4 linked regions of the Notamacropus eugenii genome follow. The main gene of each other region encodes a partner of the protein of the gene in region 2 in a complex. Links are inferred from orthologs where the notes say so. Each region holds a gene or a part of one and is shown on either strand. Other genes may lie near its edges.

Evidence for each region.
Region 1: SF3B2 (region 2) and SNRPG share a complex: the UniProt entries of both Homo sapiens proteins name them as parts of the minor spliceosome. The link is inferred for Notamacropus eugenii from reciprocal best matches to the Homo sapiens genes SF3B2 and SNRPG.
Region 3: SF3B2 (region 2) and SNIP1 share a complex: the UniProt entries of both Homo sapiens proteins name them as parts of the minor spliceosome. The link is inferred for Notamacropus eugenii from reciprocal best matches to the Homo sapiens genes SF3B2 and SNIP1.
Region 4: SF3B2 (region 2) and RNF113A share a complex: the UniProt entries of both Homo sapiens proteins name them as parts of the minor spliceosome. The link is inferred for Notamacropus eugenii from reciprocal best matches to the Homo sapiens genes SF3B2 and RNF113A.

Annotation. Positions count from the first base shown.
Region 1 is NC_092872.1:631,381,446-631,388,537, reverse strand, and holds the start of SNRPG (small nuclear ribonucleoprotein G), read left to right. Parts: upstream 1-4,084; 5' UTR 4,085-4,265; coding exon 4,266-4,297; intron 4,298-7,092. UniProt on the Homo sapiens protein: Plays a role in pre-mRNA splicing as a core component of the spliceosomal U1, U2, U4 and U5 small nuclear ribonucleoproteins (snRNPs), the building blocks of the spliceosome.
Region 2 is NC_092873.1:18,739,835-18,747,759, reverse strand, and holds the start of SF3B2 (splicing factor 3B subunit 2), read right to left. Parts: upstream 3,004-7,925; 5' UTR 2,989-3,003; coding exon 2,832-2,988; intron 1-2,831. UniProt on the Homo sapiens protein: Component of the 17S U2 SnRNP complex of the spliceosome, a large ribonucleoprotein complex that removes introns from transcribed pre-mRNAs.
Region 3 is NC_092876.1:81,740,485-81,748,069, forward strand, and holds the start of SNIP1 (smad nuclear-interacting protein 1), read left to right. Parts: upstream 1-4,564; 5' UTR 4,565-4,645; coding exon 4,646-4,950; intron 4,951-7,003; coding exon 7,004-7,106; intron 7,107-7,585. Other genes in the region: DNALI1 (axonemal dynein light intermediate polypeptide 1), read right to left, coding at 1,326-1,474, 2,169-2,249. UniProt on the Homo sapiens protein: Required for pre-mRNA splicing as component of the spliceosome. As a component of the minor spliceosome, involved in the splicing of U12-type introns in pre-mRNAs. Down-regulates NF-kappa-B signaling by competing with RELA for CREBBP/EP300 binding.
Region 4 is NC_092879.1:43,546,186-43,552,562, forward strand, and holds RNF113A (E3 ubiquitin-protein ligase RNF113A), read right to left. Parts: upstream 1,682-6,377; 5' UTR 1,592-1,681; coding exon 542-1,591; 3' UTR 501-541; downstream 1-500. Other genes in the region: NDUFA1 (NADH dehydrogenase [ubiquinone] 1 alpha subcomplex subunit 1), read left to right, coding at 1,848-1,949. UniProt on the Homo sapiens protein: Required for pre-mRNA splicing as component of the spliceosome. As a component of the minor spliceosome, involved in the splicing of U12-type introns in pre-mRNAs. E3 ubiquitin-protein ligase that catalyzes the transfer of ubiquitin onto target proteins.

The sequences.
Region 1 (7,092 bases), on a different chromosome or scaffold from region 2:
CCCTTCTGGAAGATACTACAAGAACAACACTTCAGTTAGTGTTTTTTGAGACTAACATGAAACGGTTTTCAGTTAAGGCCAAAGAAAGCCTCTCTTTGCTTACAGAACAATCTTAAGCCTCTTGCTTAATGGAATGGTGGATGACAGGTTTGGGTCAGTTAATTTTCCCCAAAGCAGAAAAAGATGTGATATCTGACCCTGGCTCTTCTACAGAAACAACTTGTTGAAAGGAACCTCTAAGGACAGGAAAGGGTAGGAAAACAACTTAAACTTCTAAGCAGGTTGCAAGGGAGAGCTTTTTTCTACTCCAGAATACAAGATGCAGCTAGCACCAATTATCCAGTAATCACTGTTGGTTAAAACTTTGAGCAACATGCTAGTACCAGGCATTGTGCTGGAAAAGATCTTGTTCTCTTTATACCAACTTCTTACTGAATGCAATTAACGTAGCCTTCCTATTCAGTGTTTCAAGGCTATGTCATATTTTCCTAGTGGTTTGATGAAAAAAATAAATAGTTTGATTTTTTTTACTTCCCCCATTAGTGAACTGCTTTTCTTTTTACATCTGGACAATGATATTTTTACCTGGTTCTCAGTGTGTGAAGAATGTATTTATACAGGTATCAGAAACATCACTTACAGCACATATGGAGGAATTGGTCCATTTACACCTAAACTGAATTGTGACATTTATTGGAGGTGTTCATGCCTTCAGGAAGAGCATTAGAGTAGAAATCAAGAAACCTGGGCATCCGTTTTGTGGCATAGACCTGTGCCCTCCTGTGACAGGGGACTGGACTAGCTGGCGATCCTTAAGGTCTTGTTGAGAGATGCCAACTCTGACATTCTCTGAAGTATCTGATCATTAGAATTACTTTGGTTTCAGATAACCAAGATAAATTCCAGTTCTAGTGAAAACACATTTCCTCCCATAAGACTTCATTTCTCTAGGCCTCAAACTCTTCAAATAGAATGAGGGGTTCAAACTAAATTCCAAGATCCTTTCAATTGTAACAGTCTGTTAATCTTAAGGCTGTGTTGAGGCAAGTTTATATTTAAGATGTTCTGTCTGTTGGCTTCCCCTTGCTTCTGGAATCAGAGGGAATTTGAGGTATTTCCATAGTGAACAAGGAAGAGATTGCCAGAGAAAGGATTTGTTGAGGGACTCTTTAGTGTCAGATTATTTGTGTACCCAGCAATGCTGGGCCTACAGGGGACGCCTGATGAATGCTTGTGACTGGGGATAGACCTCTAGGAATATGGCTTTTAGAAAGAATTGTACACTAATAGACCTTAGAGCTTGCCTAGGAAAACTGGGAACCAGAAAGATAAAATAAAAGTTCTCCAAAACTACTAACTACTGGAAATTATTTTGATTAGATACATTTTATCATGTTAAGGAAGAACCTCTCAACACCTATTCTAAATTTTTGTTCTTATTATTAGATGGATGAACATTTTGTATTTTTGTCAAACTAATAAATCCGTGAGGGAGAATTTATGAGGAAACTTGGACAAAAAGAACAAAAAGATGTGAGGGATAATGATCTTTATGTATAATATATAACTCATTAAAATCACAACTATCAAGGTGTTAAGAGTGGATAAATAATTTTATCTTTATAAAAACACCTCATTTTTATAGAATAATGGCAACATGGAATAATGGGTAAAGTGATAATCCGCTGACTGACAGTATTCAAAAAAGAACAGGCCAAATGAAAATTAACTTGGTACAAGTAGATTCAAAGTCTTACATGCGGGTTCAGAATATATCAAGTATAAAGTAGGGAAGGTGTAGTTCCATTGTCTATTCTGTTTAGATCATATCTGATGTATTTTGTATAATTTTGGGTGTTGCTATTTAGGAAAGGGATTGATAAGTTGGAAGATGTTTAGAGGAGGGCCAGCAGGACTATGAAGGGTTTTGAGCTCATGCCATACAATAGCTAGTATTTATACAATGTTTTAAGGTTTGCAAAATAGTTTGCCTTCTCTTTCTCATTTTCTCAACATGGGAGGGTAGGTAGTATTCCTCTGGTTTTACAAAGAAGGAAACTGAAGGGTTATACAACCCTGTCTGAGGCAGGATTCAGACCTGAATCTTCTTGATTCCAAGTCTTAATGTATTAACGTCCTGGAACAAAGGATGTTTAGCTTGGAGCAGAGAATGTTTGGGGCACATGAGAGCTGTCTTCAAGTATCTGAGAGCTGTAATATGGAAGAAGGATTAGATTTGTTCTCCTTGGCCCCAGAAAGAAGGTATTTTTCCCTCTTAATTATATAATTCTCCTGCCTCATTATTGTGATGTCCATGCAGGTGAAGTCCAAGAGGCTTCATGTTTGTCTTAAGATCATCCTAGCTAAATTCAGAGGCTTATCACCATATTGACCATTTTATAAGTGTAGTCAGCACTCGAGCAACTTCACTGGTCCTCAGTTTCCTCATCTGTGAAATGGTGGTTTAGATGCAGTGGGTGGAAGTTGCAGAGGAAATTTAAGGTTGATGTCAGGAAAAACTTGCAAATAATTAGAAATGGCCTCCCTCACAAGGTATTGGATGCCCTCTGATTGGAGGCCATTAGATGACTTGTTATGTAGTAGAGAATTCTTTTCAGATTTGTAAAGTTCTACCTACATTTGGGTACGTAAAGTCTTACATAGGTACAAAGAGTTGACTTCAGCAGGTACAAAGGTAAGAAGACTTGTTTAGATGGCAGCTGTTATAAAAAATATCTTTGGGTTTGCAAATCAGCAGTGTATGTAACCAAAAATGTTAATATAACATTGAGCTGCATTAAAATACCAATAATGTTAGTAGCTAGCAATTATATAGTACTTTTAGATCTGCAAGGTCCCTTACATGTTCTCACTTGATACACTCAACAACTCTATAAGGTAAGTGAAATCTCCACTTTACTTTTTATAGCTCTGTGTGGTCACAGAGGGCAGAACCAGGAGCAATGGGTGACAGCTGGCAAAGAGACAAATTTAGGCTCCGTATTGAAGAAAATCTAAGAAATGGAGCTGTCAAAAAAGTGTGAATTTCTCCTCAGATGCAGAGGCTATCGAATCAAGCTGATCACTTTTCTGATAGTGGAGATTCCTTGCATATATGGGTTGGACTAGATGGTTACTTAGATCCCTTTCAACTCAGGTTTTCTGATTCTGTGATTCATTGACTGATTTATTACTCTTTGGGGCATTCTCAGGCGGGATACTTTTAAGGTTCACAAAGTTACCATCCCTGCACATCCCTGGCTTATATCGATACAAGCATGGATTTTCACACCTTGATTACATGATTCTCGGGCCTTCCCCTTGTGATGTGGATGTGGGCCTGACTCCCATGCAGGTATGGCCTAGAGGGTGCATATTTATAATTAGAGGATCTACTTACCTAAATTCAGAGAGGCTCATTACCATCCTGGCCATTTTGTAAGTGTAGACAGCACTCGAGCAACTTCATTGGGCCTCAGTTTCCTTATCTGTAAAATGAGTTGGACTAGAGGCTCTCTAAGCACCCTTCCAGTCCTAGGTCCTTTATGGGCCTATGCAATGTTCAAGGGAAGTATGGAGTGATGCTGAAACGGCACACGCTGGACCTCACTTTTGATCTGCTCCCCTACCTGGATTCGACTCCATGGTACAAGATAACTTACAAGAAAATCCCCAGTCCTGTCCCAACCCCCGCTTCCCTGCCTCCTTTGTGCGTTGTCAACCCCTTGAGATTGTAAGGGCCTTGAGGGCAGGCACTGGCTTTTAATTAATTGTGTCTTTAGCACTTAGTACAGCGCCTGGCTCATAGTAAACTCCCAATACATATTTCTTGGATGGACTGGATTTAACAATGAAATAAAAATAATGTAATATACGAATAAAATAAATAGCAGACACTAGAAACAGAGGGACCTGTGTTTGAGTCCTTTCCACTAACTGCTTATCTGCCTCTGCCTCAGATAAGTCTCTTCTATCTGGGTCTCTGTCTTTCTTCCCCAAAAGACTAGACAGGTTCAGGATCCGCGCTGAAATCCAACAAACTGTTCAATTACCGGGCTAGTTCCCAGCCCCGCCCACCTGTAGCAGTGCGCATGCGCAGCAGGCTTCGGTTGGCTGCCTCAGCACGAGGCGGGGCTGCTCGGTTTGTGATTGGTTTGCCGGAGCCGATGATGCCAGACGTAAGGTGGCGTCAGTGGCGGCAAGGGGAGCGTGAGTGAAGCCGAGGATTGCACGGGGAGGAGGCGAAGGGCCGCAAGTGAAACAAAATGAGTAAAGCGCACCCACCCGAGCTAAAAAAGTGAGTACGGTGACCTGGCAGTTGGAGGGCCCGGGAGTTCAGCTCAGCCTGCACCGGCTAGTGAGGGAGGCCTGAGGAAGCCGATTAGAGGCTTCTGCTTCCCGGCATGCTCCACGTTCCCGGCCTTCTCTCTGCCCCTGGCCACGTGGGGAGGGGGAGGGGCGCGCGCTCGCGCGCTCTCGGCCTCTTGTGTCTCGCGCTCCATTCATTCTCTCCCGAACAGTGGTTATTGAGGGGCCTCAGGTTTGGGAGGCGATGCTGGGTGTGGCGGATGGATGGACGGATGGATGGATGGATGGATGCATAGATAGATGGATCGCAGGGCCCTTCAGACCTTGCATCTACCACGTTAAGATTCCCTCGGGGCTTTTTTGGAGCCTAAAACAAGTGCTTGGTGATTTGAATCGCCGTGTAATCTATTTGAAAGAATGACATTTAAAACCAGATTGAGTTTAGAGGTAATTCCAGCCACTTTATTTGACAGAAGAGTAAACTGAGGCTCGGAGAAGGACAATGACCTGTCAGAGGTGGTTTAAGTGGAGCCAGATTTCCCACCTTCTCCTTGCTCGTTGGTGTTCTCTTTTTACCTCACACGTTTTGGGGGCATGTTCTTTCTTGTAGCTTTTGGAATGAAACGGTGGAAAGATGGCAGAGTTTAAAGTGGAATGAGTACGCAAGACCTAGTCAGATAGGAAGCAGGCACATCGAAACCAATCCCTTCATTTTACAGATGTGAAAACTGAGGACCAGACCCACTTCTACATAGTGCCATGAAGTACTGCTCACTGTTTCTCTTTTTTTTAAATGTCTTGATCATTTGTCTTAACATTGTCTTTATTTCCCTGTATATCCCACTCCCCATCCCACCCAAGGGAGCCATACCTTATAATGAAGAATGAAAAAGAAAAGTGGGGTGGAGGAGAAAAATCAGGTAAAATAAGTCATTAGACATATTAGAAGAACCTGGAGTGGAATATCATGAAAGCCAAGGGTAGGAAAGATATTGAAGAGGAAGTCAACACTTAAATAGAGGCTTGATCTAGCGGGGCATGCCCCCCAAAAAATGGTTTTGGGAAGTAGGGTACCATTCGTGAACTTTGAGAAAGCCATTTTTGTTAAGTATTTAGGTATGAAAACCAGATTGCATGTGGTTGAGTCAAATTTTAGGCCTTAGAAGTATCCCTTACTTTAAGGACTCAACTATTTCCATCTCCTTTATGAAGCTTTTCTCAGTTCTCCTCAGCTTTCCCCATCTCAATTTTCCTTGTACTGTACATAATGTCTTATTCCGTTGTAGCTAGGTGATGAAGTAGAGGGAACCTTTAACTTGGAGACAGGAAGCCCCAGGTTAAAATCCAACCTTTGTGACCCTGGACAAATCACTTAACCTCTGTCTGCCTCAGTTTCCTCAACTGTAAAACGGGGATCAATAAAAGCATCTGCCTTACAAGGTTGTTTTAAGGATCAGATTAGATATTTGTGAAGCACTTAGTACATTGCCCTGTACACAGTAGGTGGCCTATGTAAATACCTATTTCCTTTTCCCCCGAAAGTTTCTTGAGGACTAGAATCTTTTGTGTATAGTAGATGCTTAATAAATGTTTTAGTGAATTTAGAAAGAATGATACCTGAAGGGAGTAGAAAGATTTAGGAAAGATTTTGTTATTTCAAGATTGGAAACACCTGAGTAGATTTATAGTTAGAGAGGAAGAAGCCTGTAGAAAGAGGTGGTAGTAATATAAGTGCCTTGAAAGCTATTGAACTGGGAGGCAGGTACCCAGTCTTCTGTGTAACTTGGACAAATCACTTTATCTCTGAGCCTATTTCCTCATCTGTAAAATAAAAATATTAGAGTAGATAATCTCTAAAATTAATTTCCAGCTCCAAATGTTAAGAGTCAACAAACTTGTAATAAGTAACCTATTATGTATACATAGTATATTAGAGTTACAGAGACAAAATTGACAGTCTCTGCCCTCTAGGAACTTAGTCTACTAGTAGATACAATGTTAAATAAGTTAAAAACCAATAATTTGAGGAGGAAAAGAGCATTAACAACTGGAGGAATCAGGAAAAGCTTGGTGGAGAAGAGAGCAACTGAGTTGGGTTGAAAGGAAGATGAGAGTTCTGACAGGCAAAGATGAGGCCCTGCATGAGGATGAGGGGCTAGCAAGGGATGACTTGTATGATTGTGTAGAAATGGGATGTAGAATAATAGATGCAGAGAATAATGGGGCATTAGCCAGAAAGTAGAGCACATAAAGGGAAATAATACAAAATGCATTTGAAAAGGTAGGCTATTGACAGCTATAAATTTGCTTGCTCAAGAGTTTGTATTCTAGAGTTAGCAGGGAAATGCTTTTTGAACTGGAGTAAGTCATGTGAAATGCTGAAAGAGCTGGGAGGGGAGAGCATCAAGGACACTTATTCCAAGGGCTTATATATCACCTTGGGGGGAAAGGGAGACTAAGATAGAAAGACTTACTGTAGATAAGTTTTGAGATGTGGAAAGAAAGGGACAACACAAACTTGCATTTATATGATGCTGTAAATTTTGCAAAGCACTTTCATGGGAAAAGGCTCAAAGAGGGCAGATGATAGTTAATGTGCTGGATGAAAACTGGACAGCAGAGAGATCTTGTCAGACTAAAACATGGGGCAGAATCCAATAAGATGAAGTTCTGTAGGGATAGTTATAGTCTTACACTTATAAAGTTAGGGGAGGAGAAGGTTTGAGCTCAAGGCCAGGATAGGGAGAAATGGTTACAGTATCTGGGTTTTTTTAGTGGACTGCA
Region 2 (7,925 bases):
AAGAGCCACATGTGAAGCCCTAGAGGACCATGTGAACATCCCCAACAAGTAAGTTCTTATCTACCTTAGATGAGGAAGAATTCATCAACTAACAATTAATCAAATCAACACCTCCCACATCAAGTCCAAACTTGTTTCTTGAACCTTCCAGGTTCTGCTCTCTGGGGTCAGTCAAGAAGTCTAACAGTCCTTCCTCCCAATGACCCCCTTGGCCACCTTCTTCAAACAGACTTCACGTGCATGAACTCGAAGGCCTTCCCCTTCCCGGCTGCCCTCCTTTGCACCCTCTCCTTTAGCCTGACCTAGACAAAGCCCAGCAAGCAGGCTGCCCCTCTCATTAAGACCCAGCAGTCACACTGGCTCTTGGGGCTGCCACACCGTCCAGCTAACCCATCAAAGCCCCAAGGCCCTTTTTTATGTATTCCTCATCCAGTTTTGGTGCACCTGCTCTTCTGAATCCAGGGCTACGATTTTACATTTATCGCCACTAAATTTCATCTCGTCATATTCGGCCCAACGCTCTGGCCTGCCACGATCATTCGATAGTCTGGCTCTTCTTTACAGCAATCTCACCTGTAAACTGGCACCACCCACCATCTCTGCCTTGATCCTGGGCAGTGATTAGAAGTGCAAGCCGCTAGGCTCTCCGAATCACTGTCCTGGCGCTCCAGTGCCAAGAGACTGAACCTTTCATGATGCTTCTGATTGGCCAGACAGCCCCAAAGCCCTCTGATCGTATCATAGTTAAGAAAACAGATTTCTGCTTTTCCTACAATATGGAAAATGGCCATCTTTTTTCAAATGCAGCAAAATCCACCCTGTCTCCTTCCTCTGTCATCACTGCTCTGTCTGCCCCAACACCATCACTTTTACTTAAGAGTTTCACCAGCCTCACAGCTTTGAGCTCGGGCGCCTGCTGTGCTGTGGCTCTTCTCAGTCCCCTGGGGGCTTCCACTGTCTTAAATCAGGCAGTGGATGTCCCTCTAAGAGGGCCCCACTGACCCCACAACTTCCCTTTCAGCTCCTCATAGAAAAGACTTCTCTGGGGGCTCAGAAGTCCATTTGTCAGATGTGGCATCTCCCACGCATGCCCAATGCCAGAATCTGCCCTCCTCAGACCCAGAGTGCCCAGCAGACCATCCTTGGCTGTCCCTGCCATCTCAAATACATGTTCCAAGATGGACTGGACACCTCCTCTCAAGCATATCACTTCCACCCCCCAAAATTGGGTGAACCTCCTCGTTACTAAAAATCTGACCCAGAAACAAACTGGTCTATTTTAGATGAGTAGTATTATCACAAAGCAACAAATAGCTGTTTGGCTCCTAGAAAAAAAACAATGCTCCAGAATACATGCAAATAAATGGATCTCCCGTGCGCTGTCTACTCTGCGGACAATATCCTGCCTGACTCTGGGCTTCCCCATCCCTCGGTTTCTCGGTTTCCAGTCATGAGTCTACCTTCTCAATCAGGCCACTCCACCACTGCTAGCTTTGGGCCTAGCCTGCCTCTTCTGAACCATACTGCCAGTCATGAGGTCCCATCCTACCAAGGCTGAGGTCAAACCTGCCACAATGCCAACAACAGCCACAAGCAGACAATGCTTAAAGGTTCTGCAAACCTCTCACAACCCTGGCAGGCAGATGGAATTAGGATTCTCATCTCACAGAAGAGGAAACAGAGACCAACAAAGGATAAATGACCGCCCAGGCTCACAGCTGTAGGTGTCTGAGGCCTGACTCCAGGTCGGGTAAGTCTCTCCACTGCAGCACCCAGCTCATCTTACTTGCTATGCCAACATTAGACGTTTCTGTAGAGAGATCTGAGGGCACAGACTGGATCACTGGCCAAGTCCAGGTGTGGCCACGGCTCTCTATGGACAGGTTCGGCCTTCCCCATCCTTTTCGACTTAGGAGTTCTTTGAATTAGATCTGCAGGTTTCCAGGTGGATACATTCCTATCAGTAATCCTTGTTAAGTGCTGAGAGCCTGCTTTTCTTATATGGGGAACCTACTGTGTGCCCGGCACTGAGTGGGCGCTCCGGTCCTCACAACAGCCCTGCCAAGTAGGTGCTGTTAGGATCCCTATTTTGCAGGTAAGGAAATTGAGGCAGGCAGAGGTTAAGTGACTTGGCCAGGGTCACACAGCCAGTGAGCGTCCGTCGGGTTGGATCTGAATCCAGGGGTTTCCTTCCCAAATCTGCCTCTCTTCTGAACCCTCTGCCCGGGTGTCCGGCTTTGTGGATGTCTGCCAGGGCTCCTTATAACGCTCTCGCTCGCCCCGGGAACCAGGACAAGTGGGGAGTACAGGAGGCCCGGCCGGTGGTGTTCCCGCAGGACTCGGCACCCATTTCTTATCCGGTCCCGCTCCCCGCACAAACAGGGCCGGGAGCATTCAGACCCCAGAGCGCAGCCCTGGGGGAGGGATACCCCCAATCCTGCCGACTCTCCCTCCACCCCCGGCTCCCCGGGATCGGCCCCCCACCCCGGGGCTCGCAAGAGGGCCTGGCCATGGACCCCCTCCTCTCCGCCCACCGATCCCATGAGCCTCTTCGGGGGACGGTCCCCCGAACGCACCACACGGCCCATCCCCCTGCCCCCTCGGACCCGGGACACTAGGGGGCTCCGGGCTTGGGCCGAGGCCCGCCAGAAGCGTTTAACTGAACTCTCCCCGAAGCTCCCCCCCCACCTCCCCTGGGCCCCGATCCAGAGATGGGGGCTCCCCCGCCTCGATTTCCCCACCACGCCCCCCAGCCCCGAGGTCTCCTCAGCTCCCCCGCGGGCCCCAGGCCTCCTCGCGAGGCTCACGGGCCTCGGCGCCGGAAGGCTCACCTTGGATGGGGGCTCCAATTTCCGCCAGCTTGGCCTGCAGCTCGGGCGCGGCCCAGGCGCCGTAGGGGGCCGGCGGCGGGGGCGGCGGGGGGGGCGGCGGCGGAGGCGGCGGCAGCTGAAGCTCACCTTTAGGCGCTTCGGGATGTTCCGCCGCCATCTTAGCGGCGAGAAGGCGCGCGGCCCAGGGGACTGAAGAGCTACGGCCTGCCGGAACTTCCGGAGGCGACCAATAGGAGCCGAGCCTACGGGATGGGAACAGCCAATAGAAATGCAGAGAGGGAGGGCGGCTTCGTGGAGCACGCCGGGAAGCGTAGTCGGGGAAATCCGCGAGGCGCATGCGGAAAGGGGTCTGGTTCGTGGCTAAGCCTTCTGGGAGTTGTGGATCGAAACCAGGGGAAGAGAAGACGGGCCCCTACGTCAAGCCGTTGCCAAGAAGCGGTCCCGCTGCCCCATGGGAAATGTAGTTCCCCACCGTTTCCAAGAGCCATTGTCAGAACTGGGCTGTTGCTTCTCCTTTCTGGGGAGAAGTGAGGGACCAGGGGTGTGGAGTATCACGCCAGACAGCGTCATGGGACCCTAGAGCTGGACAGATGAGGACATTGAGGCCCATGGTCGGGAGGCCTGGAGGCAGATTCGAATCATCCTCAGACCTGCCCTGTGACCCTGGGCAAGTCACTTCCCCCGGGTTTGCCTGGGCGGGGGAGGGGGGCCTGGTCGGTAACTCTGATCCACAGCGGCCCCTCCCGGCAGGAGGTGGTAGTTGCGCGGAGGCGCCACGAGGCGCTCTGTCCAGCAGCGCTCAGCATCTTCCCGGATCGTGCTCGCCGAGGCAGCAAGCGCTGACTGCGTGGTTGTCGGGGGGCCCGCACCCCCTTCCGTCAGCCCCGCAGACGAGCGTTTACATACAGATCTACTTCAACAAGTACAATGCCCACAAATGGGGGGGAGGGACCGGAGGCACCCCGGCTTCCCGGGCTCCCCCCAGCAATCGTGGCTCCGGCACCCCAGCCCCGCTGGAGACCGCCTTCGGCCGCTGCCCCGAGGCGGGGTCCAAGAGAAGGAAGAGGGGGGAGCCCTTCCCCTCTCTCTGGGCAAACTGAACTTGATCCAAAGGCCCCTCGAAGGTGATTCCATTGAACCGAGCCCAGGTTATGGAAAGAGGGAGGGGATGTAACATCAGTCACAACAGCGCCTCAGGACTTAAGCTGTGAAATCATAGTTTAGTGAACTATTTACTCAGCGATGAAGTAAACTGTTCAATTGATAATGTTTAATATAAAATTTTGGAGTAATCTCTTTGTTCTCTCTGAAGTAAACTCAGAGAGTGCCTTTTCCTATGTCAGCAAAAGCCAGCCAAGGCGACTCTACATTCCTTAAGGAGACCTTTAACCTAAGACACTATATCTTGAATAATGGGACTTTCCTTGAATCTTATGATCTATAGACACATACATACTATGTTATGAATAATGGGACTTTCCTTTGATCTATAGACATATACTATGTTATGGCATATTAATGATAAAGAAAAAATAGACATCTTAGGTCGTAATTTCTATTGAACATTGTTTACCCTTTCCTATGTCAATTATCTGTTTAAGGGAGGAAGCCTCCCACTTACTAGTGGTGGGGTTTCTTTCCTTATCACCGAGACATATGCTTACCCAGCTTGGAATCTCAAGGCCTGACTAACATTGCTTTGTTAATTGTCCTGTCTTACTGAATTTATGATTTGCTTAATTAGGAGAGTTTCTTTCTCATGGCAAAATGTACTTAAGACAGATGATTTCTGTACTAGATAGTCAGAGTCACCTCTGACTCCATAGTGCTATGACTGTTATCTTTAAGAGGGAATTAATTAATTAATTAATAACGCATGCCTTTAGTCTGATGTTTTTCTTTAACCAAGTTTTCAGGTTAACACAATAGAGTAAAGCATAGAAAGGTCGTTAAACAAAACATATCGTCTACTATATATATATGTATGTATGTATCTCCTAACAGTCGGTATGTCATGACACAGAGCATATCGCTGCATCCCCAAAGTCGGGGGTCCCAGGCTAGGGTCTTCCCTAGTATGACTCACCCTTAAGGGATAACAGAAAATACCAAGGCATCCACCCCCAGGTCACAGTGTCCTTAATCAATACACAGTGTTCAAGTAAAGTCCTCTCTCATCTTGACTGAAGGCTGACCTCCAAACCCTGTGGCTCCTCCTCTGTGGGCACGGACCACTCCCAGCTCTTGCCTGGGTTCACACATAGGAAGCTCTCTGCTCCTGCTCCTTGCCTCAGCTCATGGGAACTGTTCCACTCCTAACTCTTCCTGCTTCTGCCTGACAGCTGGCTCCAGGGGCTCCTTCCTGCAGCTTCTGTTTCTAGGAAAACAATGTTTAACAAGGCTATGACAATGTATATTTATACACATTACCAACCCCATCATCTCAATTCACCTTAACAGCTCTTAAAAGGGGCTTAAGCTAAGCCTCCTTCCATGGGCAGATCTCAGCTCTTCAGCTCAATTCACTCATAAAGACCAACAGGACAGGGCTTCTGTCTGAGAAATTAACACGGATCAAGAGAGGGAGTGAGGACATCGCAAACACTCTTTCTGTTCCCCTGGTCTGCTCCCACTTGCTTCTCTCTCTCGGGTCTGTTCCTCTCTCTCCTCTCTCTTCTCCCTCCAAGCAATTCAATACTAAGTGAGTGAATTAGTTATATGCTGTTTCCAAAGACTCCGGATTCAATCAAAAGCATTTGATTGGCTACAACTCAATCCAAAAAAACAGCAAAAAAATCCTACTTTGCTTGCTCCTTCCAGGAAGGGAAGAAGGGAGAAGGGAAAAGGAGGGAGGAAGGAAAGATGGAAAGAGGGAAGGAGAAAGGAGGGAGCTGCCTTCCAACACAAGCTGTGGGACCTTGGGGCTCAGGCATCCTTATGCCATCTACAGACTGCTGTAGCATATGAGCTTCCATAGATGACCTGCTGTTCTTACCAAACAGAGAAGCAAACTGAGGCCAGAGAAAAGCAGTGACTTCCTCCAAGTCCCACTGGTAGCGCAGTGTCCCTGGCTGTGAGCCTGCCAGACTCCTCGTGATAGGAGGGCCAGACTCCTAGGTCCCTAGAGAGAAGGAAGTGGAGAAATTCCCAAGGCGGGCACCAGAGGGGAGGGCAGGAAGAGTTGATTCAGGACAACACTGCTCTCAATTGTCTGTGGGGAGCTGTCTGAGCCTGCCCCACTCTTCCTGGGCCAGGCACATTCAGGAGCTGAAAGGAGATAGGGCCAAAGCCAGACCCTCCAGGGAGAGCTGTGAAGCATGGACACTGAGACCAGCTCTATTCTGGTCTGCCCTGGCTCGACCTGTGCTGTCCTGTCCCCCCTCAGAGCCCAGCTCTGGTGCCCACCCTTTCCAGCCCCACCCAGGCCTTGCCTGAGATGGCCCTCTGAACAATGGCCCTTCTCTTCTCCCTAGGCCCAGCCTCCCCGTTCCTGCAAGTCCTCCACACAGCAGCCACCGCCTTATCTGGATGATAGCAGTGAGAGCTGGTAGAGACTTCAGGCATAGTCTAGCCCAAACCCCTCACTTTTACAGATGGGGAAACTGAGGTCAGAAAGGTGGGGTCACCAGTCAAGTTTCTACCAGCAGTAAGTCCAAACATGACACGGACAAGATCAGAACCCAGACCCAAGGTTTTCCCTGCTATGCCAAACATCCATGGGAGCCATCTGGGAGGCAGATTGTGAGTGCCATTAGGTGTTTCCTACAATGACCCAGCACATACCTACCTCTGTCCCCCTCCAAGAATGACTTGTGAGAATTGCATTTACCTTCTTCCCCACTGGCTCTGAATGCCAATGTAATGGGAAGAGTGTGAACTTGTAGTCCCAGGACTGGGTTTGGAATATGTGCTCTGCCTCTCATTTTCTCTGTCACCTTGTCCTCAGCTTCCTCATCTGTAAAATGAGAGGTTTCGGCTGGATGATCTCTGAGATGTCTTCCATCTCTGAATCCTATGCTTTCATCCCATAGGTAATGCTTTTCCCTCTCGGGGCATTTCTCAGGACTGAGATTTCAAAAGCTGGGTGGGGGGCAGGGAAGGGGAGAAGCCAGACCTAAGGGAGACAGGCAGGGAGTTGATCCTGGGCCCCTCCCCTTGTTATCAAGTTGAGCTCAGGCATAACCGGTTCCTTTCTTGAAGATATGTCCCAGCTCCGGGTAACCTGAGCCTCCCTGGGAATCCAGATAGTAGGAGCAAAATATACAGCCTAGAGCTGGAGAAACTGAGGCCTGGCAGTACAATGGGGATGAGGGTGGGGTGGGGACAGCTGCCAGAGCTTAAGATGTGACAGAAACTCAAGAACTTCACATCATTTTCTCTTCTCTGATAATTCCTCTGTGGTCCTAACAAGAGCTGTCATGGAATTCCACTCCTGATTGGGTACCTCTGTGGGCATGGCCTGGGTCCACCCATTTCAGGGCCCTCCGTAGACTCAGTTCTGTGCCCAGCCTCTAGTTCCAGGCTCTCTGCCCACACCAGGCAGAGGGAAATACTGATAAAGACAGGGACTCTGCCAACCACTCAAGGGCGATGAAGGGCAGCTGTCCCCAATGCTGGGTCAACAGACTCTCTGAAGGGCCTAGCTGCCCTCAAAGACCATAGGGTCTCTCTACCAGAGGGCAAAGCTAAGGTCTGGGAAGCAGCCCCTAAGACCAGCACTGCTAGAGATCGAAGGCAGGGAAATGGCCAGGATCAAGGATGCAGGCTACGTACCTCTTCCAGGACCGAAATTGAGTGGAGAAAGAGGAAGAGGAGGAGCTGTGGGTTTGGATGGCCATTTGGGAAGGGGATGACAGAGTTTGAGTTTTCCTGTGATGTCTGGAATGGGAGCAGAGCACCTGACAGATCTCTGGGGAGCATCAAGAGAGATGAAGACTGAGCCTCTAGTAGTCTCAGTCACCTCCTGTGTAAAATGGGTACAATCTGGACAGGAAGTAACAACATTAAGGAGTGTGAAGAAAGTGCTTTGTTCAAACACAAGGATTCTGATGGAGAAGATGGCAGTGATGAGCTGCCCACTCCCCACCTTTCTCA
Region 3 (7,585 bases), on a different chromosome or scaffold from region 2:
ATAATCTTTCCAAAATCACTGAAAGTAGCTCAATCGCATCACCAGTCAGTTCTGTCACCACCCTGGGATGGAGGTCATTTGGCTCTAGTGACTTGAGACAATCAAGGGCAGCTAAGTGCTTTCTTATTATCTCCTCACTGATCTTGGGCTCTGATTTCCTAATAATGATTTTCCCCTTGTCCCTTCCAGTCCAGAGATCATTATCCTTGGCAGAAAAAATGGAGGCAAAGTAAGACTTTACAACTCAGCCTTCTCTGCACTGCTTCTTGTCATCATTCCATCTAGCCCCAAGCAGAGAATTCCACTTTGATACCTCCTTGGAGCTTCCTTCCAGTGTAACCTTGGGCAATAATAGTATTGATAATAATAACTAGCATTTATATAGCCCTGGTTCACACAGCTAGTGAGTGTCTGAGGCAAGATTTGAACTCAGGTCTTCCTGAAAAGAAGTGACCACCTCCCTATCTCAGTATCCCCATATGTAAAAATGAAATGGTTAAAGTTGGATGGTTTTGCAGTCCCTTCCAGTTCTTGTATTCTATGATTCCATCAGGATAACAGCCAGGATAAAAAGATGACACATTAGGCACATGAAGGATCCTGACCTACATGGTGACCCTTGTGTGCTAAGGCTAATGAATCTTAGACTAGTCTCTGGACTCAAGTTCTATGTTAGTAGTAGGATTAAATAATATTTAAGGTCCCTTCCAGCCTGCAATGAGGAATCTATTGGGATCATAGATGGATTATAGAGGACCCTGGTGTGAGGAGACTCAGACCCTTGGGTTCTAGAGCTAAGTGACCTTGGAGAGGAAAAAAAGATCCTAGTATCTTTGGGACTTAGAATTCCTGTGCCTCTCCCCACTCTTCACCCTTCTGTGAGTATAAAGCTGGTTCCTATCTGTTTGTATCATATAGCACTGGTCTCTAGAGTCAAAAGATCTAGGGTTGAAACCAGGCACTCCAACTCACAACCTGGCTCTGTTTCCTCATCTATAAAATATGACAGGGAAGGGGAAGGGGACTAGTGACCTCTAAGGTCCCTCACAGCACCAAGATCCTGGGACCTGGGGGGAGGGGGAGAAGAAGAGACTGTGGGACTCTCTCTAGGACTGTTGGCTGGTCTGACCACAAGGAACCAATATCAATACTTCAAGGGTTAATTATTTCATGAGTGTGGCTATTCCCTTGACATCTTAGTAGAGTTGCTATGACCAAAAATCTCATTGTCTTGCAGCTAAACACAGGATAAGCCTTTGCTAACTTGGCCAAGCCAGTCCATCCCAAGACTTTCCAGCTTGTTGATTATCCCTTGATCTTTTTACCTGGGAGGCAAGATGGAGTTCAGGATCTCTTCAGCCTGCTTGGTGGGGTCTGAGGCAGCAGAAGTAGAAGGGATAGCCTTGCTCTTGGGTGGCTGTGGAACTGGCCCTGTAGCCAATGGCTGCTGTGGGCTGACCTTCAGGGGACGGGCCTAGAAAAGAGGTGACAGAGAAGTTCAGTGAGCTGGTCCTCAGAACTGGCCTTGGGGCAGCCATGGCCCTAGTTCTTTTCCTGTATCCTTTCATTTCCTTCTTCCCACTTTATTTCTCCCTTTCTACCCTCCTATCTTCCTCTGCTATCTCTTCTCATGATATCCCTCTTCTCCTCCTTCCCTCTCCCATGCATCTACCCTCACCTTTTCTTTCCTTCCTCTCTCCTCATCCTACCATCATCTTTTTTCCTTTGTCTATATCCATGTCTGTGGTCCCTCCTTTTGTCCAATTTTCTCCCACCCTCCTTACTTCCTTTTCATTTTTTCCTCTTCCATCCCTCCCACATTCTCTTCCTTCCTCTTTGCTCCTCCCTCCTATAGTACCTTTCCTCTCTTTGCTTCTCCCACTGTCTTTTTTCCTCTTAATCTTCTTCCCTTCCCTCACTCCTCCCAACCACATCTTCCTTTCTCCTTCCCATTCCTCTTCTTGCTTCTCCCATCCTTTCTCTCCTCCTGTTTTACTCTTTCTACTTTCACCTCCTTTTCACTCCTCCCATTATTTCTTTCACTCTCCCTCTCCTCTCTCCTTCCACTTTCATCTTCCTCTTTCTTTCCCTGTTCCCTTCCACACTCTCATCACTTCTCCTCCCGCCCTCCCTCCCTGCAGTCCCCATTTCCAGGCCCTGGATTCTACCTTGGGGCTCCGCTTCTCTGTGTTCCGGCTCACTAACACCGGGGTATCATACTTGAGCAGAGAATCAACTGGAGGAATCATGGTGGCTGCTGCAGCAGTGGCTCCGCAGCCTTGTTTACTGTCACCATGGAAACCGAGGCCCCACCCCCTGTCCCTACCACTCGAGCCCAGCAGCTTGAACCTAGTGGTGGAGGCGGAGCTAGCAGTGGGGCGTGGCCATCGGAGAGCTGTGGGATTGGCTGGCGCCCCACCAGCTCTAAGGTCTTAGCTCAGGTCTGCTGAAAAGAATGCTGGCCTAGGCCCTCCCCAGGAGCCATCAGATGGAACTTCATTTCTGTCACTTGGTTAGCTGTGTGGCCGTGGGCAGGTGATTCTGGGGCACAGAGGATGCTTCTAAGAAAAGTACCCTGTAGAATTTACGAGTGCTATAGAAGTGAGAGCTCTCAATTACCACAGTCTCCTTTACGTTATTCGGCAGGCATTCTTAACTCTGGGTCTGTGAACTTGTTTATTGAACATTTTGATAACTGCATTTCAGTATAATTGCTTTTCTTTATACGCCTGTGTGTTTCATTTCAGGTGGCTGGTGGTACGATGCATAGAGTTAGAAAGACTTGAGTTCCAATCCGTCTCTGACGCTTACTGGCTGTGTGATCTTGGACAAGCCATGTGACTTGTCTGGCCTCAGTTTCTTCATCTGTAAAATGGGGATATTAATTACCTCCCAGGATGGTGGTGAAGAGCAAATGAGATACTTGTAAAACAAATTTGTTAACCTTAAAATGCCATATAAATGCACTATTAATACTTTAAAACATAGACTTTACTTTGTTAAAGGAGTCCTACACACACACACACACACAAATTAAGAACCTCTCTAAGTATCTTCTCCTGTCCTGTTGGAGGCCAAGGCAGGGGACAGAGACCTGGGTTTGAAATTTGCCTAAGACACTTGCTGGTCCACCCTGGACAAGTCACTTCTTATTCATTTACAAATGAAAACTGGTTTTTTTTTCTGTTGCTCTTTTGGAGTTTAATTTGACATGAAATTTCATTTATTTCACATACACACACACACATAAAACCATATATTCCAATGGTTCAGACAGACAACCCTTCCGCAACTTCTGCAGACTTCGAGAGCTGCCTGGGGCACTGAGAGGACTTGCCCAGCGTCCTACCTCCGTTATGTGTGACATTCCATCTTCCCGACCCAAACAAAGGCTGGCCCTTTATTCCACCTGGCTGCTTCTCCCCTTATGACCACCAGAGCTCTTCATCTTCCTTCAGCACTGAACTTCGCAGGACTCAGCCCCCAGTCAGCGCTTAATAAGTGCTCGGGCAATAAAGGAACGAGTCCGGGGCCACGCCTCACCCACGGGAGCCTGTGCCCTCCCTCCATGCCTTCCCCCTGCAGCCTGCTTCTCGTTTACCACTGACAGAAGCGCTGCCATTTCTTGTCATTTGTGGTGCAGCCAAAGTTCCCACGGAGAGACCCTCGGGTGGATTTCTCTGATGTCATGGTCTTCTTCCAAAACGAAGGACGAACCCTGACAGGGTGGATGCTGGCAAGTGAAGACAAAGGTCCCTCCGGGGAGAGAAGGGAGCTTTACCCTGGACGTCCTAGGAAGCAGGCACGGCTTGTTTCGCGGCTCCAGGCAGGACAGTCTAAAAGACCGGAGGTCAGAGGACTGACCGCCCCTGAGGGTGCGAGGCCCCGGTCACGGGTGGGACTCCGTGGTGCCCAAGCCTCCTTCCTCCCTCCTCTCCTCTCTCCTCCCTGGTGTTCACTGAGCACCAGTAGCAGAAGCAGGCCCCGGTGCACACCGGCCTAAAGAAAGGCAAATAAAAGCCTTGGTCCTCTGAGCGCGCTCTGTAGGGGGCAGACCCCGACCCTGCTCGCTCCCTGTCTCCTCGGCCTCTATTCTGACGCCGTCGCCTCCCTTTCCCCAGCAATACGGGGGCGCCACTCTGAACAAGGGCACGTGGGTTCGAATCCTGACTCCTCCGCTCGGAGCCGCGCGACCGTGAGCTGTGACCCGGAATCCGTCCTCCGACCTTACGGGCCGTCACCTTTGCCAGCCCGTTTCCTCCTGTGGAACGTGGGGCGGTGACAGCGCCCGCCTGGGGAGGGTCCGACGAGGGTCTTTGGGGGGTCCGCATCAATCGCGGCTGTTGCAGCCCCGGGGAGAGGTCGAGTGGGCGTGGTGAGGGAGAGGAGGGGGCGGGGACAGGCCAACGGAACTTTTTGTTGGATGGGTGGTTGTTTTGGGGGTGAGGCTTCCCCAGACTTCTCTCGCCTCTTTCGAGAGCGCGATTTTCAGCAGCGCCCGCCAGGGGGTGCGATCACAACGTGACCGCCAGCGGCCCGACTTCCGTTTGGCTGCCGGAAGAAGAATCGAAGCTGCCCCGGAAACGGAAGCGCGGGGTACGCGCTCGGGCCGTCGCTGAGGAGCCCACTGGCCCGGGCCGCGAGGATGAAGGAGGCGAAGCCCGAGCGGGAGCGGAGGCAGCGGAGGCGGCGCCGGCGGCGGCCGGAGGCCGAGGACGAGCCGGCGGCAGCGGCGGGGGACGACGTGCTGGTGCCGGATCTGTCGCTGGTGAAGCAGGAGCGGCGCAGCCCGACCCCCGCGTCCCGCTCGCACCGGCCACGGGCCCGGGCCCGGCGCGGCTCCTCGGGAAGTCCGAGCCCGGCGCCGGACGAGGAGGCGCCGCTGCCGCCCCCGGCCCCGCGAGCCCGCGGCGCTCGTGCCTCCGGCGACCGCGCCGGCAGCTGCAGCAGGTACGAGCCCAGCGCCCCGTCCCCCGGAGGGACGCTGGGTGGTGGCGGCGGTGCCTCCCGCCGCGGGGGTGGGGGTGGGGGATAGGGCCCAGCCCCCTGCTGACTCTGCTTCGTGATCCCCAGAGGCTCTTCCTCGTCGAGCCCCCAGCCAGTCCTGCCTCTTGTAGCAAGTCTTCCCTTAGCCCCTTTCCCAGCTGCGCACACACTCGGGTCCTTTGTAGGACCCTTCCTGCGCCCCTGCTGCCCGTCTGGTAGCTGTGGTGTTGTAGGGACCTGGGTTCTAATCCTCGCCCCGCCATTTACTAGCCTTGGCTGAGGCGAATTCTTTTTCTGGCTCTCGGTTTTCGCATTTGTAAAATAAAAATCCGAGTGCTTGCATCGGTTCTGTTTTTGTCGCTCAGTTGCGTTGGAAGCTTCGTGACTTCCTTGGCGGAGACGCTGGAGGGGTTTTCCTTTTCCTTCTCCAACTCTGCCGATGAGGACACCACTAGGAAGTGTCCGAGGCCGGAGCTGAACTCCCAGATGAGTCCAACGGGCCTTCTCCCCACTTGGACACCTAGCTGCCACGTTAATTGTTAGAGTTATTTTGTGGGTCAGTGGAGATGACGTTCGTAAAGGACTCTCTGGATGTGAGTGATGACTTATAACTGTTCGCTCCCATTATTTTTTGGTCTCAGAATACAGAACTGGACATTGTTGGATTTAATTCAGCGTTTAGGGTTGTTGTGAGGATAGGAATTCGTAGACTGTACAGTATAACTGTAATCTGCTGTTGTTATTCTTACCTTTACCCCCAAGATTTTATACCACTGGTTTTCATCTTTACAGCCCTTTCACTACTAACCTACAGCCTTCACCCCAGTGTTTTGTTAAGATTCTGTGGTTTCCTTGGTATGCGTACCTCTTCTTTTAATACAAGTTGAAGCGTTCCTCCACAATTTAATAGGTGGTTTTTATGAATCGTTGTGGTCAGTCACTTGGCCAGCCTTCTGGTAATGAACCTCTTCAAATTTATCTAGACTGGTCTTCAAGCATCAGACACACAGTCTTATCACCAATGCTGAACTTGAATCCCTTCCAACTAAATACTTTCAGTATAGCCTTCAAAAACTCAGGGCCACGTTCACCCCTGAGGGAAGCATTGGAGATTTCAGTAAAGCAGAGTAATGAGGCTGAGGGGATGGCGTGAGGTAAAGGTTACCAGTAAACTCTTCCTTGAGTTGAGATCTAGTTAAATCCTGAAGGGACCATTCATTTCAGTTAAGTGAAGATGAAGCTATAAAGAAATAAGACACGGTACATGAGGGGATCAGGTTGATAGTGATGAGGGAGGGTCTTAATGAAGAGGTGGCATCTGAGTTGGACCTTGAAGGAAAGAGAGGAAGTTGCAGACAAGTCATAGTCCAGGTATTTAGTCTAACTTAATTTTATAGATGAGGAAATTGAGAGTTCAAGGACTTGCTAATTGCAAAGTATCTTCTGCACCATGAAATCATAGGGGTTTGAGAATTAATTTCATTGCCCTATGTGATTGCTATCTTGCCTCTATCCCACCATTTTTTTGGAGAAGCAGTGTAATATAGTGGGAAAAGCACTGAGTTTAGGATAAGAATATCTTTGTTCAGAGTCCTGGCTCCAGCATTCTGTGACTCTTCTAGGCCGGACCAGCATTGTCTAAGCCCTTTTGAGCTTCAGTTTTATCTGCCAAGTGGGGATAATCATACTATTTGGTTCATGGGGCTGCCACAGAGACAATTTTATAAAATGTATACTGCTGTAGAAATGTGAATTATTCTGATCATACACTAAATGGCAGATCTAAGACAATAATTTGGATCTCCTAATCTGAAGACAGCTTTTGCTACCGTGTGTAGACCTTTTTTCCTTGTGTCCATTTACCAATGCTTGCAAAGTTTTAGTCTTCAACAAACCTATGATAACTCATAGCAGATTAGGCAGGAGATGTCAAAAACTTTTTTCTTTGTGTGAGGGAAATTGGGGTAGAGGTTCAAAGCTTATCCACCAATTCCTATGTGTGTTGTGTTTTCTAAAGATCACCAACCAAAAGGAAAAACAAGTCCTTTGGGAGAAGAAGCAGATCTCCTCGGAGTAAGAGAAGCCGTAGCCCTCACCATTCTGTAGTCAAGGTGAAGCAGGTAATTGCAATTGACACAACTCATTCCCCTAAGTTCTGATCTAAGAATTTCTTCCTACTAGTGTTAGAATATGGACTTTCTTCTTCAATTGGGAAGTGAGCCCCAAGGTTACAGCATTACTTTTATGGACAGAAAAGGGCAGGATATAGACTGGTTTTCACTAAAAGAACTAGTTACTTGAAGAGCTTAGAACATAAATACATATACTATCATCTTTAAGGTTCAGAGCAAGAGTTGGGAGACCCTGGCCATTGCTTGTATTCCATGGCAGGTATTCCATGATGTGCTGTTGGTTCTACTTCTTGGAGAATAAATTATCTTTGGGCAGCTGGTTGTATCTTTCCCTGAGTGGAGCCACTGTCTACATGCTGTAACTCTCTGTCATCTAATTCTTAAATGCACCTCTCATTTCATGAACAGCTTATTACTGTTAGTCTTTGAGGCTTTCAGAAGGTAACTTTAAAAAAAACCTATCAAAA
Region 4 (6,377 bases), on a different chromosome or scaffold from region 2:
GGTACCTCATGGGCACCAGGCAATCCAAGCCCCCCTCACACTACCCCAGTTTAGCCAGAATGGGGACCAAGCAATCCAAGCCTTCCCTCCTCCCTATGCCTACCCCCCCCCCCCATTCCAGCTTAGTCTGGTACCTCATGGACACCAGGCAATCCAAGCCTCCCCTGCCCTATCCCACTTTAGGAAGAATGGGTACCAAGCAATCCAAGCCTTCCCTCCTCCCTATACCTATTTCTCCCCCTTCCCATGCCCCATTCCAGTTTAGTATGGTACCTCATGGGCTCCAGGCACTCCAAGCCTCTCCCACACTACTCCAGTTTAGCCAGAATGGGTACCAAGCATTCCAAGTCTTCCCTCCTCCCTATGCCTACCCTCCCCCATTCCAGTTTAGTATGGTACCTCATGGGCACTAGGTAATCCAGACCTCCCCATTGTTTCTCATCCGTCCCTCCACCCCCTCCCCAACCCCGCGACACTTGAGTCAGAAATTTCCACTCATGTTAAACTTTGAGAGAGATTTTATTGTTACCATTCGGTAGGTTTAAGTAATGGGGGTTGCACCTTCATCTGAGCTTTCTAAGGGATCGGAGATGACGGCCTTCCCTTCTGCCTGGAATTTTTCTAGCTTGGCAATGAGGTCCTTGGCTGGGTTGAAAACCCCGTTGGTTTGCTGGTCACAGACGTAGCAGCGTTGTGAGGTGCGGAAGTGACTGAGGGCGCAGCTCTCGCAGAAATAATGTTTGCACTTGGTCACCACGGGGTTCCGGAAAGATTGACGACAAATGAAGCACTTGAAAGGCAGGTCCTCCTCATCGCTGCTCACCTCGTAGTTGTCTTCGTCGATGCCCCCATAACGACCCTCGTCCAGCTCGCGCTCGATCTGCCAGCCGTGCTTGTAGTCAGAGCGGTCGTGGAGAAACTTGCAGCTGTCTCCGAAGCCGCAGAAACCGGTTTCCTTGTAGTCTTTGCAGATGTCGGGCTGATAATCCCAGCGCACCGTGGCACGCAGATGTTCAGGAGCACGGATGGGGCCCTTTCTTACCATGCCGGATGAGGCGTTGCCCATGGAAGTGTCTTTGGGTTTCACGTACTTCTGGTAATTGTTGATGCCCCGGTAGATTTTATCATCCTCTTTGCCCCGTCGCTCCTCTTGGATCTTCTGGCTGCGCTCGAAGATGGCTTGTGCATCGTGCTCCTTCTCTGTGTCCAGCTCGTAGACGGCAGTGGCGCCCATGTCCTCGGGGCCCACGGGCTTGGCCGAGCGTGTGGACTTATAGACGACACTCACGGTGGAAGGCTCGCTTTCGTCGTCGCCGCCGCTGCTGCCGCCGCTGTAAGAGGTGGGCGCCTTCTTTTCCCGGTAGCTGCCGCGCGTCTTCTGGATCATGGGGTTGGGGACCAGGCGCTTCTTCTGCCGCCGGACCACCACGTTGCCCTCATCGCTGCTGCTGCTGCTGCCGCCACCTTCCCCCGACGGTTTCTCGAAGGCAGGCCGTTTCCGGCGACTCGCAGTGCCTTTCCGGGCCGACTTCTTGAAAAGGAAGGTGCACACCGGCACAGCCGGAGCTTCAGAAGACAGGTCGTCGGCCATCTTGATCTTTCTGAAACTGCGAAGTTCCGCGATGCCAACGATTCACTTCCTGTCTTGGCGTCACTTCCTGTCGGGAAGAGGCTACTAGCGGGCGGGGCACGGCACGGCGGCGGGCGCTGATTGGTCGTCGCCGCTGATTGGCGGGGTGGAGCGGCGCGGGGGTTGCTGGGACGGGAAGTGACTCATGTCACCTTTATCTCGCGACCGGCGTCGTAACAGTGTCTAAACTGTCTGTGGCCGCGAGCCTCTTCTCGAGATGTGGTTCGAAATTCTGCCGGGACTGGCCGTGATGGGCGTGTGTCTGACGATCCCGGGAATTACCACCGCGCTTATTCAAAAGTACAGCAATGGCGGCAAGGTAGGGCCCCACAAACCTGAGCTGGGACCCGGAGGTGGTCTCCTTGGGCTCCTCAGCCCGGGGGCGGCTCCGAGACTGGAGAAAGGACCCAGAGATCTCGAGCTGGCCTTGAGGCCAATCCGTACTGAGGAGAGAGGGGAAGGGAATTGGCCAGGGTCCTTGCTCTAGAGCTGGAAGAGACCTTAGGGGCTATCGAGTCTAACCTCCTCATTTTACAGAGGAAGAAACTGAGGCCCAGCGAAGGGAAGGGACTTCTTTCAGGTCACCCATAGGATCCTAGAATTAGAACTAGAAGGGACCCAGGGGCCTATCCAATTCAACCCCTCCCCCCTTCATTTTACAGAGGAAAAAACTGAGTCCTAGGGAGGTGAAGTGACATATCCAAGGGCCTACAGGATTCAACCTCAAGTCCTCTGATTCTAAATCCAGTGCCCTTTCCATTAGTAGCTTTCCATCTTCCTCACACAGGTGACATGCCAGAAAGTAAGTCCTTTCTGTTCCAAGTAAAGGGGTATTCTCTTTAGTTTCTGGCCAAAATACCATTTTACTGAGGGAGAAGCTCTGGTTTCCCTTCCTGTAATGTAAATAGAATGTTGGAGGCAACACTTGGTTGCCTGAGAAAATGAGAACCCCCTTTTTACAGAGATAGGGGATCTGAGGCAGTGAAGTGAATAAATAGAGTACTGGGCATGGAGTCAGGAAGACTTGAATTCAAATCTCATCCCAGATACTTATTATTTGTGTGACCCTGGGCAAGTCACTTCACCCCTGCTAGCCCTGGTTCTGCATTTGTAAAAGTGAGGTAATAGTAGCACCTACCTCCCAGGCTTGCCATTGAGGATCAAATGAGATAATATTTCTAAAAGAGCTTAGCCACTTTTCCTGGCACATAGTAGGAATTGTATAAATGCTCATCCCCTTTTTATCTCCCCTCCCTCACTATGAGTGTGGAGCATTTGCTATACTTATTGTTAGACTTAGATATGTGAGTTTTTGCCAATATGCTTCTTCTTTCCCTCCTGTTCTCTTTTATAAGGGATAGCTCACTAGGTAGAGGTGGAGGTTGGGGGACATTCAGAAATGAAAGTGATATGTAAATATATAATATTCATATCTATATAAATGTGTAAATTATTTTTTAAGTAAAAGAAGACAGCTGAAGGGCTCTTAGTAATAGCAAAGGAGCTCCTGAGCTGGCTGTGGAAGGGAGTGGGAAAATCACGGGAAGATACAAAGAAAGTGGCAAGAAGAAATAGAGATTAAGATAGAGAGGTTCAAGGCCAAATGGAAAGGAGAGAATCCATCTACTTCCCACAAACTATATTCACTCCATTTATTCAGCAGACGGTTATTAAGCTACTGTGTACAGGGGCCAATGCTAGGTGCTGGGGATACAGAGATGAGTCAGATACTAGACCTACCCTTAGAAGGGATCACAGTTAAATAACAACAGATGTCATATAATCTACAACGTCTATTGAGAGGGTGGAATGGTGTAGTGGATAGGGTACTGGACTTGGATTCTAGAAGACCACTGGTTCAAATCCTACCCAAAATATCTTCTATTTCAGGCCTTTCCTTGTCCCTTTTAGCTTTTGTTACTGCCTCATATATAATATAGTTGATAGGTGAGAGTCTAGGGTGGGTTGTATATGTGCATGCTATTTCTCTCAGAATGTGAGCTTTTCCAGAGCAAGAACTGTTTTATTTGAAAACACAGCACAATACCTAGCACATAGTAGGTACTTTATAAATGCTCATTGATGGACTGATAGACACCATAATGGAAAGAGTGATAGAATTAGTGGACTTGGGTTCAAACCCTTTCTCATACATTTCCAGTGAGGGAAGGCAAGTGACCTAATGACTCAGGCTCTCAGGTTGTTCATCTGTAAAATGTGGATAATAAAGACTAAAGCATTTAGCCTATCTCACTGTGGTTCCAATGAAACCGTGAAGCTTTAAATGTAGTGTTCTTACCGGTCTGCAGGAGGATGTTACTCAATTAGGGAGAGTCATGGGATTTTAATAGACAATGGTGGGCATGAATGGATATCATTGGTTCAGAGTAGAAGTTGTGGAATATAGACAGAAGACAGTACAGCAAGATCTTCCTCAGAAAGGCCCGAGTTCCAATCCACCCTCAGACAGTAACATGCTAAATAACCCTGGGCAAGTCATTTCACCCTCTTTGCCTCAGTTTCCTCATCCATAAAATGGACATAGTAAAGAATGTATGTAAAGTATGTATCCTATCTCACTGAGGTTCCAGTGAAACATTGAAGCTTTAAATGTGATATTTTTTCTGCTCTGCAGGAGAATGTTTGTCAATTAGATAGAGTCATGGGATTTTAATGGACAAGGGTGGGAATAGGTGGGTATCATTTTTTTTCAGTCGATGCTGTTGGTCATGGACAGAAGAGAGTAGGGGAAGAACTTCCTCAGAAAGATTTGAGTTGCAATCCAGCCTCACACACTGATTAGCCTAATAACCCTGGGCATGTCATTTTACCCTCCTTGCCTCAGTTTCCTCAACTCTAAAATGAGCACAGTGATGACCAATGGATTTGACTTATCTAACAGGGTTGCCAGTAAAACGTTGAGGCATTGAGTATAATATTACTTGTATCCTGAGGTCAAATCCAGTCTCAGACACTCACTAGCTAAAGGACCCTGGTCAAGTCATTTCACCATTCTTACCTCACTTTCCTCATCTGTAACACGGCCTACTAAAGACTAATGCATTTATCCTTTCTCACTGGGATGCCAGTGAAACCTTGAAGCCTTAAATGTCATATGATTTTTGGTCTGCAAGGGGATGATTCTCAATTAGGGAGAGTCATGGGATTTTATTGAACAAAGGAGGGGATTAGAAGGGCATCATTTCTCGGGTGCCAAAGCTATAGGTTAGGGACAGAAAAAAGTCCAGGGTGAATTTCCTCTGGAAGACATGATTTCAAATCCAGCCTCAGAAACTCAGTAGCTAAATGACCCTGGTCAAGTCATTTCACCCTCTTTGCCTCAGTTTCGTCATCTATAAAATGGGCCCAGTAAAGAGTAATTCACTTGTTGAGAGTAGAAGCCGTATGTTAGGGGCAGGAGACAGTAGAGAAAGAACTTCCTTAGAAGGATTTGAGTTCAAATCCAGCCTCAGACACTGAGTAGCTAAATAATCCTTCACATGTCATTTTACCCTCCTTACTTCAGTTTCCTCATCTCTAAAATGGGCATGGTCAAGGCCCATGCATTTACTGTATCTCATGGGATTGCAGTGAAATGTTGAACCATTAAGTGTAATATTATTTGTGACATGCAGGGTGGTGTTTCTCAATCTGGGAGAATCATGGGATTTTAATGGAAAATGTGGGAAGAGAAGGATATCATTTCTTGGGTGCAGAAGCTGTGGGTAAGGGACAGAAAAGAGTTCTAGAAAAATTTCCTGTGGAAGATCCGAGTTCAAATCCACCCTAAGTCACTTACTACCTTCGTAGCCCTGGGCAAGTCATTTCGGCCTCTTTGCCTCAGTTTTCTCATCTGTGAAATGGGCATAGTAAAGACTAATGCATTTCTCTTTTCTCACTGGGGTGCCAGTGAAACCTTGAAGCCTTAAATGTCATATTATTTTTGGTCTGCAGGGGGATATTTCTCAATTAGGGAGACTCATGGGATTTTAATGGACAAAGGTGGAAATAAATGGGTATCATTTCTTGGGTGCCAAAGCTGTAGCTTAGGGACAGAAAAAAGTCCAGGGTGAATTTCCTCTGGAAGACGTGAGTTCAAATCCAGCCTCAGACACTCAGTAGCTCAGTGACCCTGGTCAAGTCATTTCACCATTCTTACCTCAGTTTCCTCATCTGTAAAATGGGCACAGTGAAGAATAGTGCATTTGTCCTAACTCACAGGCTTCCCAGTAAAACTCTGAAGGATTAAATATACTATCCTGTGTCCTGTGCAGGATAGTGTTTCTCAAATAGGCAGCATCATGGAATTTTAATGGACAAAGGTGGGAATAGAAGGGCATCATTTCTTGGATGCAGAAGGTATGGGTTAGGGAAGGAAAAATGTCCGGGAAGAATTTCCTCTGGAAGACCTAAGTTGAAATCCACCCTAAGCCATTGACTGTCTAAATAACCTTGGTCAAGTCATTTCACCATTCTTACCTCAGTTTCCTCATCTGTGAAATAGGCATAGTAAAGACTAATGCATTTATCCCTTCTCACTGGGGTGCCAGTGAAACCTTGAAGCCTTAAATGTCATATTGTTTTTGGTGTGCAGGGGGATGTTTCTCAATTAGGGAGAATCATAGGACTTAAATGGACAAAGGTGGGAGTAGGTGTCTATCATATTTTGCTAGTGGAACCTGTGGGTTAGGGACAGAAGACAGTAGAGGAAGACCTTCCCCAGTCTGATGTGTTTCAATCAAGTCTC